Linked DNA regions of Struthio camelus. The protein of the gene in region 2 interacts with the protein of the main gene of each other region in a pairwise test. Links are inferred from orthologs where the notes say so. Each region holds a gene or a part of one and is shown on either strand. Other genes may lie near its edges.

Evidence for each region. The genes of interacting proteins can lie anywhere in the genome.
Region 1: the proteins of BYSL (region 2) and LTV1 interact in binary tests that used the Homo sapiens proteins (3 or more experiments, as listed by UniProt). The two-hybrid records come from large-scale screens. The link is inferred for Struthio camelus from reciprocal best matches to the Homo sapiens genes BYSL and LTV1.

Annotation. Positions count from the first base shown.
Region 1 is NC_090944.1:77,174,053-77,181,957, reverse strand, and holds the start of LTV1 (protein LTV1 homolog), read right to left. Parts: upstream 3,117-7,905; 5' UTR 2,469-3,116; coding exon 2,466-2,468; intron 1,032-2,465; coding exon 900-1,031; intron 1-899. UniProt on the Homo sapiens protein: Essential for ribosome biogenesis.
Region 2 is NC_090965.1:6,381,501-6,389,191, forward strand, and holds the start of BYSL (bystin), read left to right. Parts: upstream 1-4,585; 5' UTR 4,586-4,612; coding exon 4,613-4,853; intron 4,854-4,937; coding exon 4,938-5,112; intron 5,113-5,197; coding exon 5,198-5,336; intron 5,337-5,840; coding exon 5,841-5,974; intron 5,975-6,226; coding exon 6,227-6,387; intron 6,388-6,943; coding exon 6,944-7,046; intron 7,047-7,419; coding exon 7,420-7,691. Other genes in the region: MED20 (mediator of RNA polymerase II transcription subunit 20), read right to left, coding at 1,444-1,697, 3,626-3,780, 4,437-4,450. UniProt on the Homo sapiens protein: Required for processing of 20S pre-rRNA precursor and biogenesis of 40S ribosomal subunits. May be required for trophinin-dependent regulation of cell adhesion during implantation of human embryos.

The DNA.
Region 1 (7,905 bases), on a different chromosome or scaffold from region 2:
CACTTGAACCACAATTTTTACAATCCTCAGTATTGAAAGAATAAGCTATTGAAAGAATTCTCTGCAGTGAATCGCTTTACATTGGTTCAGATTATATTGACTCCACAGCAGTCCCTACAGTCCTCTCTCCACACATCATCCTAACACACAACCAACTAGAATGTTGAAACCGCTTAGTAAAGCGTTTAGACGCTGTCTGAGCAGGAATTTAAGCAACTTTTTTCATAAGCAGCACAATTGACAAAGCCTGTTTTTTCAGGGTGGGTGAGATGATTTTTTGTTGTGGTTGTTTTTAATATATTTGTATCCCTACTGCCAATTAGCCATCCCTCCATCCATTAGGCAGTAATTCACAACTATCAAATCCCCTACAACGTCCCCTTTTTCTGTCCCAGTTATACCTTCCCACAATCTCGCATGGCCTTCCTTTTAATAATCTTTGCTCCTATTTCTCTGTTGTCTCCTATTTCACTACCCACTTCCACATTCCCAGAGTACAAAAGCTTGTTCAGAAGTGTATGTTAACTGGCTAGCAAAAAGAACAGAGAGATGTTCTATCTCTATCCATCTTCAGAGTTTTAGCTCTCCACACAACTGATTTTTCTGAAAGCTTTGTAACAAAACACTTTCAGAACTTCTGCTCCTCTCTCAGGATGCTTCTGAACCATTTCAAAGATGCGTATAGTATATACAGGGAGACCAAATACACAAACAGGTCAGAAAGATAATATTCACGTTTCACCTCCTTAGGGTATCAGGCAAAAATTACAAACAAGTTACAGCTGAACACCGGCATTTAACCATCTTCTCTCATGTACTTCAACTGTAAGACTCCATACCCATCTTTCTCCAGTGCAGCATTTCCTATCCGAACCTCAATAGTAAAAGCAAGTATTTACTTTCTGCGCAGGCAGCAGAACTCTCTGGGGTGCAGTATCATCAGCAGCAAGTGGATCCCTCTGACTTCTGTGCACTAAGTGAAATGTTACAGCTTTCTTCTTCTCTATGAAGGGCTTCTTCCTCCTGTGAGGCTGCAAAAAACATTTGGTTATGTTAATCGTTAATAAAAAACAAAATATAAAATGCATCCAAAAAGGATCTTTTGCCTGAAACATGCTCTATTAACATAAAGTCTTAAAACGTATACTTAGAGACAAAGCAAGAGACTAGCTGTATTTCGCTCAACTCTTCCGCCCACACGCAGAAGAGCATGAAGTTACTTCATGTGTTCCAATAGCACATGCAACCGTATTCAGCTGTAAAACGGCAATATACGAATATGAAACAAGTATTTGATTATGGCACATACTTAAAAAATCCCTTTGCAGGACTGTATGCTAAGATGTAACTGCTTTCTAAACACTGGGGCATATCTGAAACAAACTTCATCACAGAAACACAGGAAACCGATAGGCGCAAATTCATCTAGACAAACACAGCCTCTTGCAAATTGTTCAGATAGATGTTTCAATGCAATTTCTACGTATTCACCATCGACCCCAACAATTATCAACTACACCACTATGCAGATGTAACCTGAACACCACAAATACATTCACGTTCTGGATCAACAAAAATCTGCAGTTTTCTTACGTGGGTAAAAGCCCCTCCTACAAGTCAGCACATCTAACTGAAAGAAATACTTTTATCAAAATTTATAGCTTTGTTTACCTACTAGCATGTATTGATAGAAAATATATGTAACCTGAAGACTATCTTACTGATGTAACCTAATCTTCTTTTAACATATAAAACCTTACACACCATTTAACATCAAGGTCCTGAGCATATCAACTGCCAAAACGTATCTCTAGTTAAAGAAAAATATCCTATATCTTAAAATCTTAGGATAATCATAAAATGAGATGTAATCAGCTCTGGGAAGCAGACAACATATTACCCCTACGAACAAACTTTCTGCTGACTGGTGATACAAGTGAAGTGCTTATAAAACACTGACGTTGCAGGACATCAAGCAGGAAAACTAGACACCACCTCTTAATATTGGCCTATGGCAAACCCAGAAATCATTCCAGGAGCATGTGCTCGCCTCGTGCAGGCCTCAACCATTCCTAGGCAGGCGGCACAGGCCGCGGCACGCTGCCCCCTCCACCCCCGCCCACCTCCTCTTCAACACCACTCCGGGGGCCGCCGCACCCGCCCCTCCCGCAGGTCCGGAGCTCCGGGGCGCCCTGAACCCTTACAGGGCCGAGGAAAAAGCTTCCGCACAGCCCAGCCCAGCCCAGCAAGTGAGACGGTTCACCAGGCCTCCAAACCCCCAATTTCAACCCAAAACCATTGGGGGGGGAGGGGGTGAAAGTGGGGTAAGGGAGAGTGGGTGACGGTTACCGGCTGCAGGCGCCCTCTTCTGCCCCCCCCCCCCATCAGGGACAGGCAGCGCCCGGCTCCCCGCCGCAGGGGCGACCGACACAAGCCCCCCCTCCCCCGCAACGGCTGCAGCTCACCATGGCGCGAGGGCGGCCGGCGCTGCCCGCCGGCGGTGCTGGGCGCTGCTACCACACGGCCCGGCCGGGAACCGCCGCGGCGTCACCACGGCCGCGGCTGCCGCCTCCGCGTTGGGATAAAGCAGGGACCATGGGGGGAGGGGGGGGTAAGCCGACAGGCTGCCACGCCGGGCGGGTTGTTTTTTCGCAATCACGAGAACAGCAGGAGTTTTCTCGGGCTAAATAACTTTCAGAGTGAAAAAGAGGCTTTCTGAACGCGCAGAAGGAGCTCCTCCGCATCCGCGTTTTCTTCCCTCTCCCCCTCCCCAATTTGTGGAGAATGGTTCCGCCCGCCAGGGGACCGCAACGGCGGAACGCTTCGGTCGGGCCAAAGGGCAAGGTGCGTGCGCAGCCGCCGACCCCGCGCACCGGAAGGGGGAGGGCGGGGGGGCGGAGCTAGCTGGCAGGGAGGCGCGTGCCCCCCTCCCCGGCGGCGGCGGGGTGGCCGTTAGGGGCGTGGCCGGCGCGGGGCAGGAGGGGGCCGTTTCAGCCGTGTGTGGGGCTCTGCCCCCTGCGTGGCCGCCAGCGGCGGTTCCGTCCCGCCGGTGTCGCCTGGGCTCCTCCGGGGCGTGCGGGGCGGCTGGCACTGCGCTGTCCTGCTGGTCATCTTCTGCTCCGCCCGTCTCCCCCCCAACGGCAATAGCGAATCCTTCCCCCGCCCCCGCCCACGAACAAAATCCCCCGATGAATCCTGTGAAAAGGAGACTGGCTGCTTGGCATACCTGCCCTGTCCACGTGAAGGAGGTGAGAGAACAGAAAGGGTATGAAAAACTGAAGTCATTTCACTCCCGTCACTAAGTGGCGAGCGCTCAGGAACTACCATAAACCTTTATAAAGAAGCTATGTTAAGCAGAAGGCACAGGCAGGACTTGCCTTCCTGCCCAGCAGAAAGGGGGTCTTCAGCTAGCGGTGCTTCAGAGGTCCCTGCCACACAGTTTTCCAGTATTGCTCCAAGCTAGTTTATATTCAGGCCGAATTTGAAGGGTGAGGTGTAAATAAGAGCTATACGTATAATTTATGTATTTATATTATCAGTGTCCTTTCTCCTTATGTCACTAGATAAACTATCTGTGCCATATAGCATGCCCGCGGGCACACTTGTGCACAAACAAGTGCGGGCACAGACGCACACTCCTCGCTACGAAAAAATATGCTTGGCAGTTTAGACATATTAGGTAAAATTGTTTTGTTGCATTTCAGAAGAAATTGTAAGCTACAAAACGGGAGGAATTTCTTCTATGTGTGTATAGGCAATTACAAAAATTAAAAAAAGCTATTGAAAGAATTGTTATTGATATCTAAGAAATAATTATTTTTAAAATAACCGTTCCACATATTATGGTTGTATATCTGAACACCCAAATAAATGTGTATGTATACCTTAAAATAATAATGAGCTTGAATCATGTTTCAGTGAATGTCAGTATTTTTCACTAGGTGTCACTAAAGCTCCAAAAGACTACAGATTTTCGCTTTCCTGCTATTGTTTTCTGAAGTCTTGAAGCTTTAAGATGAGGTTCACCACGTTAATCTCACGGAAATGGATGAGCTAATCTGATCCGCTCCATGAATGACTTCTGTACTCGGGGGATTCAAATTATCCCTGCTTATTTCTGAGAAAAGCCTAGAGACTCCTTTTCTCTTGCGTCTTAAAAATATATGGTGGTCATCTTGTGGCGTTCAGCCACATGAAACTTTGATTCACGCCTCTCAGTCTGGAGGGTTAGCAACCCTTTGGTTGCATGCTATGAATAGATTTTTCAGGATTGCACTGAACAGGACTAACTCCCATCCTATAGTATGTCCATGGTGCAAAACCAGTGATAGAGCTGAGCTAGCTTTTAACTAGGCAACTTGGATAATGGGAGTGGAATAGTCAAACTGTTAAAAACATAGTGCTCAGCATTTCTCTGCCGGGTTACAAAGTAAATTAGTCCTTATTGCTTCCAGGTTCCTGAGCTAACTCTAGTATCCCTGCAGAACGCTGCATGGTGCAAAGTACTCGTCCCTTGACTCGGTAAGAGGATTGCCCCTCGTACTGAGAATTGGACAGCCTCCTACCCAACAGTAACAATACTTTCATACCCTATATTTAAAATCCGGTCTAGGAGTATTGGTCAGCCTGCAAGTTGGAAGAACTAGCTTTTGCTCTTAGCTTCCTTGCTAATCATCTGTTTCATTTGGGGCAAATTAAATTTACCTCTTCAGTGTTTTACAAGTCAAGGTTTTCTGTCTTAACTCATTTCCACACTGTGTCTTTCCTTTTTCGATTCCACGTGTTTAAGGGGAATAACCTTGGCTATATGTTTGCCCTGTGACTACAGGAAGAGGCTCCCTTATCTCAGAAGACTGATTCTGCATCTCAACCGTAATACATCTAGATATTAGTTTTAAAATTGTGAGATTAGCAGTAATAAACATCTTCCTGGTGTTTGATGTACCTCCTTTTTTGATACCTAAGGGTGATTCATCTACTTCCAACTGATGTCTGATCTTTCAAAATTCAGAGTTTAGTATCACCTGCATGTGAAATATGTATGCAGGAGTCTCTCAGATGGAGACTCCACTTAAACTTCTAGTCTCATCTAAGCCCTACAAGGTCATCTGTACTGGTGTACTCTCTCACTGTGTTCTCTGCTGAGATGCCTTGCAGTTTCAAGTCAACAAAGAGCATTTACAGAGGGTGGGGAGAAAAGGGGGTCAGCTCACTAACCACTTCTATTTCGTTTATGGAAGAAGAATGCTCAGTATCAGAATGGTCCCACCGCAGAGGGAGTATACTGTATACACAATAGTATACTGGAGCAATCCACAGAAATTATTTGTACGTTTAGCTGCCTTAATTACCAAATAGATGTTCAGAAGGCATTTGGTTTAAAAGCCAAAGCTTAACATTTATACTTCAATACTAAATAAGCAGGAAAAGAAGGCAAGCTTTTGTTCAAATATATTACTGTTCTTTCCAGAAAAGTGTTTAGTAATGTAGAATAAATGACATATCAATAACCCTAGCTTATGTTGCAATTTAAATTATCCTTGAGTAAATGTAGTAGACTTTCTGGACTTCATTCTCTCTGGATTTACTTCAGTTTAAAAGAGATTAGAATCTGGCCAGGAAGCCTAAATTTCTTTAACATTATCAACAATCTGCCTTCCTTTTGAGGAACCTTATGCTAAATATTTTTGCTATTAGTTCTTGCAATAACAGGAGGTATGGTTGGTTACATAACTACAAAGCGAAAGTTATTGCCAGTTACTTTGTCACGTTAAAAGATGGGCAGACATTCTGCAGACTAGTTCGAACCCTGAGCTGCGCGGATCAGTCTTGTCCATGTAAATGCAGTAGGTGTAATTCTAATTCAGTTCTCATGTCAATCACGTTATTCTGCTGAAGCTAGTGAAAACAACTGCTTGATTTACTAATACAGAACTTGTGAAGTTGGGAGCATAAACTAGGTCTCTGCACTATTGAGCTAGTACACTACGTATTTTTAACCTATCAGCACTTCAACACACCTCTGCATGAATAAGACCACCCCCAAGAGAGCTACTAGGTGTGTGTGAAGGGCTCCCAAGATGAAAAGGAAGGTTTCAGGATCCTTCCTTCATTTCATTTGCATGCAGTGACTTTGAATTCAATCTTTGGAGACCACCTTCCAACAAATAACTGCTCTCTGCAGTTTACTCCATCATACACACCCATGTACTTGCTACAGATTCAAGAAGGAAATGTTTTCTGTAAAGATTTTCTGAACAATTTTATTGAGGTAATTTTCTTCATTTTATATTTGTATATATTCATTCATATCTGTAATTCAAAAAGCTAAACAGTTTTCTAAGGCACTTGGAATTGTGCACAGCAGAGTATCCTACGGTACTGTACAACTAGGCAGTGCACATGTTTTGCTTGTTAAGTAAAAACATAAAACACAAGCATAATGTGTGTACTGCATAAAAAAGATAATGCATGTTCTTTTTCAGATGACAATACTGAAATATACTTGTGTGTGTGTGTGTATAAGTATATACCACAGTGCAGATAGCTGCTTCTTGGGTTTTTATCTCATTAATTTGTAACAATTACTGTAATTTACATTCACAGATATCCTGTGTAGAATGCAGTATCAGATCAGTCGCTTCTTTAAAGTTATCGTATTCAGTCACTCTAAGTCAAGTTACTAAGATACAAGTAGAGGCATTCATTTTATAATTATTATGCAAAATAAACACTGCATAAACTGAAAAGTTGAGGGTATTGATTCCCCAAAGCCTCACATCTTTTGAAAGTCATTTATGCATGTGGAAAGTGAGCTTTATAAACGCCAGCAATTCTAAGCTGGTAACATTTCACCTCCATTTGTTACAGTTATCAGTAACTATCTAGCATGATGGGCAGTGGGGAATCAAGTCATAAGCTTTGTTTACTTTATTTTACTCGTAAATATGAACGTTTATTGAAATTCAAGCAGGATACTTTGAGCACAATTTGTTTCTATTTTTTACCAAATTAATAAAAACGATAAAAGTCCAGGAACTGGCCCAGTGCCTATTGATAGCTGACACTTCATTATATACTGCAAAATAATTCCAATGAATCCAAGTTACAAAGGCAGAAAGACCAAAATTTAATTTCAGGTGACTATGGCCCCAATCCTTCTTTTAACAAATTCAGTGCATAAGCACCTCTTGACTTTACTGCACCCTAATAAAATCCCACTGGAGTTTAAGCACCAGGAACCTGTGGTGGTTGGATCATCAAGCCCTCCTTACTGGAGTCATCTCAGAGGTGTCCTTGCAGACTTGAGTGGGAGGAGTCATGTGCCCAAGGATTCTTAGTACTGAGCACCCATGGTGTATTTCAGCTCTGCCACAGAAAATACATGTTCTTTGAAGTCCAGTGTTTAAGGTACAGTTGGATCTATAAAATACGGCATATTAATACTGCTATGATTTACTGTTAGAGCAATTGTTCTGCACAGACCTGGAAAGGGACACAAACCTATCGGTTCCCAAATGTACAGAAATGTCATCTACAGTGCTCGAATACCTCTCCTACATTTACAATTCTGTTGTAAATTGAATTCAGCTTCTCTTTTAGAAAAAATATCTTAAGAGCTATTTTAATGGTGACAGGTAATTAGAATAGGCCACCTCTGCACCCTTCTTGCCCCTACTCATATATTTAGATGCCCATTCAAACAATCCATTGAGATCTTTTTTTTTAATTTGAAATCATACCAGCTGAAATAATTGTCCAAACCACAGTTTTTCTTTAATTCCAAAATTTATACAAGTTTACAAATTAATATACCACCACACAAAGTCGTGAAAGGAAGAGAAGGTATGTATGTTCAGCAACGTTCTACTGTACTATAACAATGCTCAAATATGGTTAAATTTG
Region 2 (7,691 bases):
CATCGAAAAGCGAACATCATTCCCACAAGCTGGTAGGCTGATGACTCATGTGTGGGTGTGACATCTTTCAGGTGTGTGTTGAAAAACTTTGGGTCTTAAGTATTTGCAGCCTCTTATTAGAGAGGAGTCTGGTCCCAAATCAGGAGTGGGTCCTAATGCAAGCCCTGAAAAAAAAACTACTAAATCAAAACGGAAGCAACCAGACCATCTGGCAAATCTGGTCCTGAACTCTAAAAGTTTAGAGTAAAACAAACTTCTGCTTAACCCCAGATTAACAGGAATGCTGACACTATTACAATGTTTGTGTTTACTCAACTGAAGGGGAAAAAAGAAAAAACACATTTCTCAATCCCCATCACTGCTGGCTAGTAACACCTGCCTGAGTAGGTTCAGTGTGATTATTAATTACGTATCAGGTAATAGGATTTGTGTTTAGAAAGGCATAAGCTCAGCTCTTTGACCTTTAAGCATCTAATTCTCAGCTATCTTAAAGAGTGTTAGGCTTTAATGTATCTAGATATCTTGAGTCTGACCTACTCTGCCTTACCCTTCCCACAGCAGCACAGACCAGCTTCTTGTCTTATTCTGAGAGCCTTTTCAGCCCAGGTGAGGCTCGTCCATGGCTCGTAAGCCTTTGAGTTGCACATCCATTCAGCCAACTGTCTCCCCAAATGACTTCATAGCTCCTCCTGTGACCCTTCATCTGTACTGAAGGATCGCCCTGCAGCTGGCACGAAACAACTGGTGCTCTCAAGCCTAATCAACAGTCAGGCTGCTGAGCAGAAACAGCGGAAGCTGTTTGATGACAGGCTTTGTGCCCACACTGCACCCCACAGTGCAGCAATCCAGGTCAGCCATGGGGTAGGACTGACGCCTGCAACGCAAAGCTCTCTGAAGAGGAGACGCCATCTTTATGCCATGTGCGTGCAGAACCTAGGGCAGGAGGACCGTGCTCTCCACTGGGATGCCTAAGCCCAGCCATTTTCTGCTCAAGATGGGGAAAGAAAGCAAAACCCAAATCAGCATTAAATTATCAGCTAAAGAGATTGTTTTGTCCCCCTTGGTATGTTTAATAACCTGAAGCGTGCTACTAGTGTCGTGCGTCAGGACTTTAAGCAGCTTTTTAGTTTGATGGCATCCCTTCAGGGCTTTGTTTATTGACACTTCAATGACAGGCTCTTCCACAGCTGCAGCTGAGCCCCAGAGTATCTGCCTGAATTAAACCTTGCCTTGAAAAGGCAATAAATACTCCTTGCACATACACGAATACATCTAGTACAAACTAACAGCAACTAGTATACAAGTTCACATTTGAGAGGCTGGCCTGCAGGCCAAGCAGTCAATACATGGAAGGAAGAGGGGCTCAAGATTTCTAGTCTAGCATCTAATATGAGATTTCTCTATCTGTAGTTGTATTTTATATCAATCAAAGACAATCCTTACCTCCACAGATATCCCACGGGCACTGGGCCCCATTGTAACCGTGCCCACCTTCACCAAGAAGTCACAGTACTGGTAGCGGGTTCCCCGGCTCTCTATCTTGTTCGCCTTGGCATTTTGGAAGAAGCCTTTCAGCTTCACCATAAGGATATCAAAGTTGGCATCTGCTATGAGGCAGGGACCATTTTCAAAGAGAGCGAAACAGCTGAGGGGATATTCAGAGTTGTGCATCACATACATCAGCTTGCCTGTCTGCCCTGAAACAAGAGCAATGATATATGGGCTGCAGAAACAACAGTCCTGTGCTTGTATGTGCTTTTAAGAAAGAAACATCTCTTTGCTTTCCCTTTGTTTTCCTTGCTGCTTCAATTCTAGGATCCTTGTATTAGTCTCACACACTTTACGTTTTCTGAGTGTTCCGGAGATAGGTTATATTTCCCTCTTAGGGTTTAAAACTAAAGGAAAAAAAAATCTCATGCAGCCACTCCTTGCCCAGGGACAAGACGGCAGTGCAACTCAAGGGCCAGACTTGGATGTTAGATCTCCAGCAGGATGAGAGGGTCAGCAAAGAGCACCTGCTCCCCTCCCAGAACATGGGGCTGTCCTCTTCAGCCCTGCAGTAAAGGGAGAAAAGCTGGGTTTTGCCTCATCTCCCAGTCGCTGACCAGCCCCACAGAGCTAGCAAAGGAAGGAGGTGCCTGGGCACATTCTGGAAAACAGGACATCCAGAGAGGATGTGCCTAGCTTGTACAGTGATTCAGAAGTGGAAGAGGATTCTCATTTATCTGTGTTGGTTAAAAAAGCCTCTCAACAGATGTGATTGTGCAAGTTCCAGTTCCAGCTCCAGCAAAAAGCCCCTCTCATAGCTTCAAACCTGCAGACACATCCGCAAAACCCGACAGCAGGGCAGCTGAAGCAGCACCCCAGCTGCACCAATCTGCCTGGGAAGAGCGGTGAGGCTGGAAGGGCTCAGTGCTGACCTCTGCAGCCGCAGAAACACTGGAGGGATGTTCACACTGGTTTTTAAATGCTGTTAAAAGCCACATGCTTGGGAGGGAAAAGGAGGGGAGCACAGTCCCCCCAAGTGAGCAGATTAAGTCACGTCTTTCAGCTCTCCCGTTAGGCCCTGTGATGTCCAGAGGGAATGCCAGGTCCTCCAAGCACATCCCCCGGCCACGACTGGGTCATTTCACACCTCAGAAATTCCCCTAGAGCTGCTCACCACCGCCTGCCTGCCCTGGGGAGCCTGCTTTCTTCTCTGCTACCACCTCCTGCCCTCGATCGCTCACCCTCCTGGAGAAGAAGGGCAGAGCAGGTGACAGCAACAAGTTGCTCTCAGGAGACTCCTGTAACTTAGCTGCTGTGCAAAACGCAGCCTCCAAAACAAGTCACCAACAGTAACGCTTTAAGAAGCCTTAGGGAAAAAAACACTGCCAAACTGGCAGCTGGTTTTTGACCACTTATCTTATTTCACACGCACAAAAGAGAGATCCTACACAGCTGCTGATATTCCAGTTAAGAATCCTTAAGCGCTGACACAACACAGCTATCCTCAGTGCAGGAAAGGACAACCGTGGGGCATGTGTGTAACAGAGAAAACAGCATTAGTGAGACACAACAGGCTCCCAAGTGGAACGGCGCGTTTAGTCATTCAACATGTCTGTTCCAGGGCAGCCCACGGCACGCAGCACCCAGCCGCGGGGCCAGCGGAGCTGTCGGAATGACCTTCCCCGGCTCTCTGGGGACGATGCGCAGGGGCGCTATGTTTCCCAAAGCTATTCATCTGAGAGGGGAAGAGGTGAACTGCGGTATGAATCTTTCAAGGTAGAAAAAAGCTTTTACAAGCAGCCAGGCAACTGCCCGTTCCCCACAAGAGCTCAACACAATAAATAAAATGATGCTGACTTGTGGAAGAAACCTCAATTGCAGGGCAGAGCGGCGATCTCGCACGTAGCACGCGCTTGTTCCACAAGGGACCTCGCTGTTACTGCAGCCGGATTTCGCTACCAGCACGCTGGGCACGAGATGAAAGACCGAGAAACGCTCACGGGAGAAGAGAAGCCTCCGAGCTGGCACTGGATGAGAGCCTGCAACCACCTCCCTCCCTTTTACCGCGACCGGTCTCCGGGGGACCGCAGCTGCGGGGCATGCCCGGGGGTGGCGGCAGCGGGGGGCCGGCCCTGACCTTGGTTGCCCATGGTGGAGGCGGCGGTGTGGTAGGTCTCGCAGTCCACGCAAAACGTCCCCTGCTTCTCCGCCCCCAGCAGCTCCAGCTTCCTCGTCAGCATTTCGACCGTCTGCTGGACGCTCTTGCCCTCGGCCACGGGCACCTGCGCCACGCTGCGGGGGGAGGCGTCAGCGGCGCCTGCGAGCCCGGGGACCCGGCCTGGCCGCCACGGCCCCGAGCCAGGGGGTTAACGGCACCCGGGACGGGGGGAGGGCCACGGTGTCCCCCCGTGACAGCACCCACGCTGGGGGGGGGCCATCTGCCACAGCCTCCCCGTGACGGGGCCCATGGAAGGGGGGGGGACAGCTCCCGCTGCGGCCTCCCCGTGACGGGGCCCACGGAAGGGGGGGGGACACCCTCCGCTGCGGCCTCCCCGTGACGGGGCCCACGGAAGGGGGGGGACACCCTCCGCTGCGGCCTCCCCGTGACGGGGCCCACGGAAGGGGGGGGACACCCTCCGCTGCGGCCTCCCCGTGACGAGGCCCACGGAAGGGGGGGGACACCCTCCGCTGCGGCCTCCCCGTGACGGGGCCCACGGAAGGGGGGGGGACAGCTCCCGCTGCGGCCTCCCCGTGACGGGGCCCACGGGAGGAGGAAGGAACACCGCAACCCCCGCAACGAGAGCACCCACGGGGGAGGGAACATGCAGTTGCCCCCCGGCCAGCACCCACGGGGGAACCGTCCGCCGCAGCCCCCCGAGACGGCACCCACGGTGGAGGGGAGAGGGGGAACCGCCTCGCGCCCCCCTCCCCCCCCCCGCCATCCTTACCACGTGACGCCCATGGCGCGCGGCGGCGGCGGCCCCGGCAGCGCCGCTGCCGCGCGGGGGCCGCGGGCGGGGCGGAAGTGACGTGCGGGGCGTGAGGCGGCGTGTGACGTGGTGCCTGCGGCGCCGCGCGCGCCCTCCCGGCCCGGCCTCGCTCCCCCGCCGCCGCCGCCGCCATCATGCCGAAGGCCCCGGCCCGGGCAGGGCCCCGCGAGCGGGCGCCGCCGCTGGCCGAGCAGATCCTGCGGGCGGCGGCGCCGCGGCCCACGGCGCGCGTGAAGCGGCGCGGCGCGGCGGGTGGCGATGATGATGGCGGCTACGTGGACTCGCGGCTGTCGCGGCGGATCCTGGAGCAGGCGCGGCGGCAGCAGGAGGAGCTGGAGGCCGAGCACGGCCCCGGCGCGCCCGCCGCTGCCCTGGGTGAGCCCCGAGGCGGGGTCGGGGGGAGGCCGGGGGGGGGGGGTCCGGCCTTGCCCCGCGCTGACCCGGCCCCGTTTCACGCAGGCCCCGCGCCGCCCGGCCCGGACAGCGAGGAGGAGGAGGCGGCGGCGGAGGAGGAGGAGGAAGAGTGGCCCTCGCTGGAGCAGGCCGCGGCGGGGCGGTGGTGCCAGGAGGTGGCCGTGGACCCCGAGGACGAGAAGGCCATCGAGATGTTCATGAGCAGGAACCCGCCGCTGAGGTGGGCCGGGGGCCGGCGGGGCGCCGGGCCGGGGGCCGGGGACCGACGCTTGACTCACTCTCGCTTCCCTTCGTCCCGGCCCCAGGCGCACGCTGGCGGACATCATCATGGAGAAGATCACGGAGAAGCAGACGGAGGTGGAGACGGCGATGTCGGAGATAACGGGTTGCCCCATGCCTCAGCTCGACCCCCGCGTCCTGGAGGTCTACAGGGGCGTCCGAGAAGTAAGGCCGAGGCGGCTCCGCTCTGCGCGGGGGCCCGGCGGCGAGGCTGCCTCAGAGGCTGTTCTGCTACAGCCCGTAGCGCTCACCTGGCAGCGATCGCTGCCGAGCCCCCCTTTCCCTTCGCTGGTAGTAAGTACAGCGATCAGGACGTGTTCAAGGAGAGAAGCTCAGCTGGGGGTAAATTGGCATTTTCATGAGCAAAGTTGCTAATCTCCTTGCAGTGAGACACCCTGGGAAGCCCGAGAGAAACCCCACACCAGAAATGGGAGGGTGGTGTGATTAGTTAGCACGGCCCAGACAGTGCTTCCCTGGGTGTGCTCTTTCTCTTCAAAATAAATTAACTGCGATTTACATAGTGTCATTCACTGAAGACCCCAGAGTGTTTCTGAATGACTGAATCTCAAGGTCATGAAACAAATCCTGACGAATCCCCATGGTCCTGCTGTCAGTTCCACTATATCACTGCCAGGCTTGCATCCATTCCTTTTTTTGTTTTTTTTTAAGGTGCTGTCCAAATACAGGAGTGGCAAACTCCCCAAGGCATTTAAAATCATTCCTGCCTTATCCAACTGGGAGCAGATCCTGTACATCACAGAGCCAGAGACATGGACAGCAGCTGCCATGTACCAAGCAACCAGGTAGAATTGTGTCTGGGAATTACTGATTTTTTTTTTTTATTATTCGCTTCATCTTTCCACAAGCGAATACCAGATACGCAAAATGCCAGTCTGTGTCCTGCTTTCCTGTTCCTTTGCATGCCAAGGTGGAGGGAGTCATGGGGATCTCATAGCTGATGCCCTGGCTCAGGTACTGCCTGCAGTTACACACTCCCAGGACCTCTCTCCAGAGACAGACAGATCACAGCTTGCTTTGTGCTTCGCTCTTCCCAGGATATTTTCATCCAACCTGAAAGAAAGGATGGCCCAGAGGTTCTACAACCTGGTACTGCTGCCTCGGGTCAGGGATGACATCGCCGAGTACAAGCGTCTCAACTTTCACCTCTACATGGCTTTGAAGAAGGCTTTGTTCAAGCCAGGAGCCTGGTTCAAAGGTAGAGACTTCCCACAGGGTGATGGTTTGTACATAGGAGCCTTGCAGCCATACAGCAGCTGGGAAGCTCAGCAGGGGCATGTGTTGCACACTTGCCTTGTAACAGCACACCATGCTGTGTGTGGTGCGATGACTTCTGTCACGGCTGCAGCAGCCCAAGGGGTTGGTGGGAAGAAGGAGGGCAGAGAAGAAGCAAAAGAGATGTAGAGACCCCCTTGGGCCCATTTGCACCCTTCTGTGCTGAAGGGCAATGGGTACTGGCGGGTTACGCAGGTGCTGCCAGCAGATACTGGCAGATACTTGGTTTCTTTTGGAGGTCAGTAGCCCATTACAAATTATCCTAGGCCTGATCTGCATATTGTCTAGCAACCTGAGGATGTTTGGTGCTAGATGCATGGAGAAGAGGGTGGAAAGAGATATTGAAACTCCCATAACATAAACCAATGGAGGATCCTCTAATTCCTGGAGTCAGATGCATCCGGGGATAGGAGAAGGCAGCTCTGCCTGCTATGTTTAAGGACAGCAGTGTCTAACACTTTCCCCCCCGCCCCTGGCAGGGATCCTCATCCCCCTGTGCGAGTCGGGGACCTGCACGCTGCGGGAAGCCATCATCATCGGCAGCATCCTCACCAAGTGCTCTATCCCTGTCCTTCACTCCAGGTAACGTGGCAGTGGGGCCCTGCTGCCATGGGGTACTGGGAAGGATGGGCAGGGGGAACGGTTCTCCCTTTGTGATGCCGGAGCGATGCAATGGATCTGTCCCTAAGCCTCTCTGGCCTCTCGGAGACAGAGAAGGTTTCACCCAGCTCTGCCTTGTCTGTGCAGGGCTGAGGTTCAAGGCTTCCTGCAGTGCTGGGGCTGTCATCCGTGTGTCTGGGACCCACTGGGGCAGGGCTCAAGGGACAAGCTAACCTGGGAGAAAGGGAGCCTTCAGCTGTCCACGTCACGGGTGCCCCGTAGCTCTTGCTTGGCCTGCAGGTGCTGAGGCCCTGCCACACCTGCCCTCACCTTGGTGCTCCCTCCGTCCCCACAGCGCAGCCATGCTGAAGATTGCTGAGATGCAGTACAGCGGTGCCAACAGCATCTTCCTCCGCTTGCTCATTGACAAGAAGTATGCACTGCCCTTCCGCGTGGTGGATGCGCTTGTCTTCCACTTCCTGGCCTTCCGCACAGACCAGCGGGTCCTCCCTGTCCTGTGGCACCAGAGCTTCCTGGCCTTCGCCCAGCGCTACAAGGAGGACCTGTCCTCGGAGCAGAAAGAGGCCTTGCTCGAGCTGCTCAAATTCCACTGCCACCCACAGATCT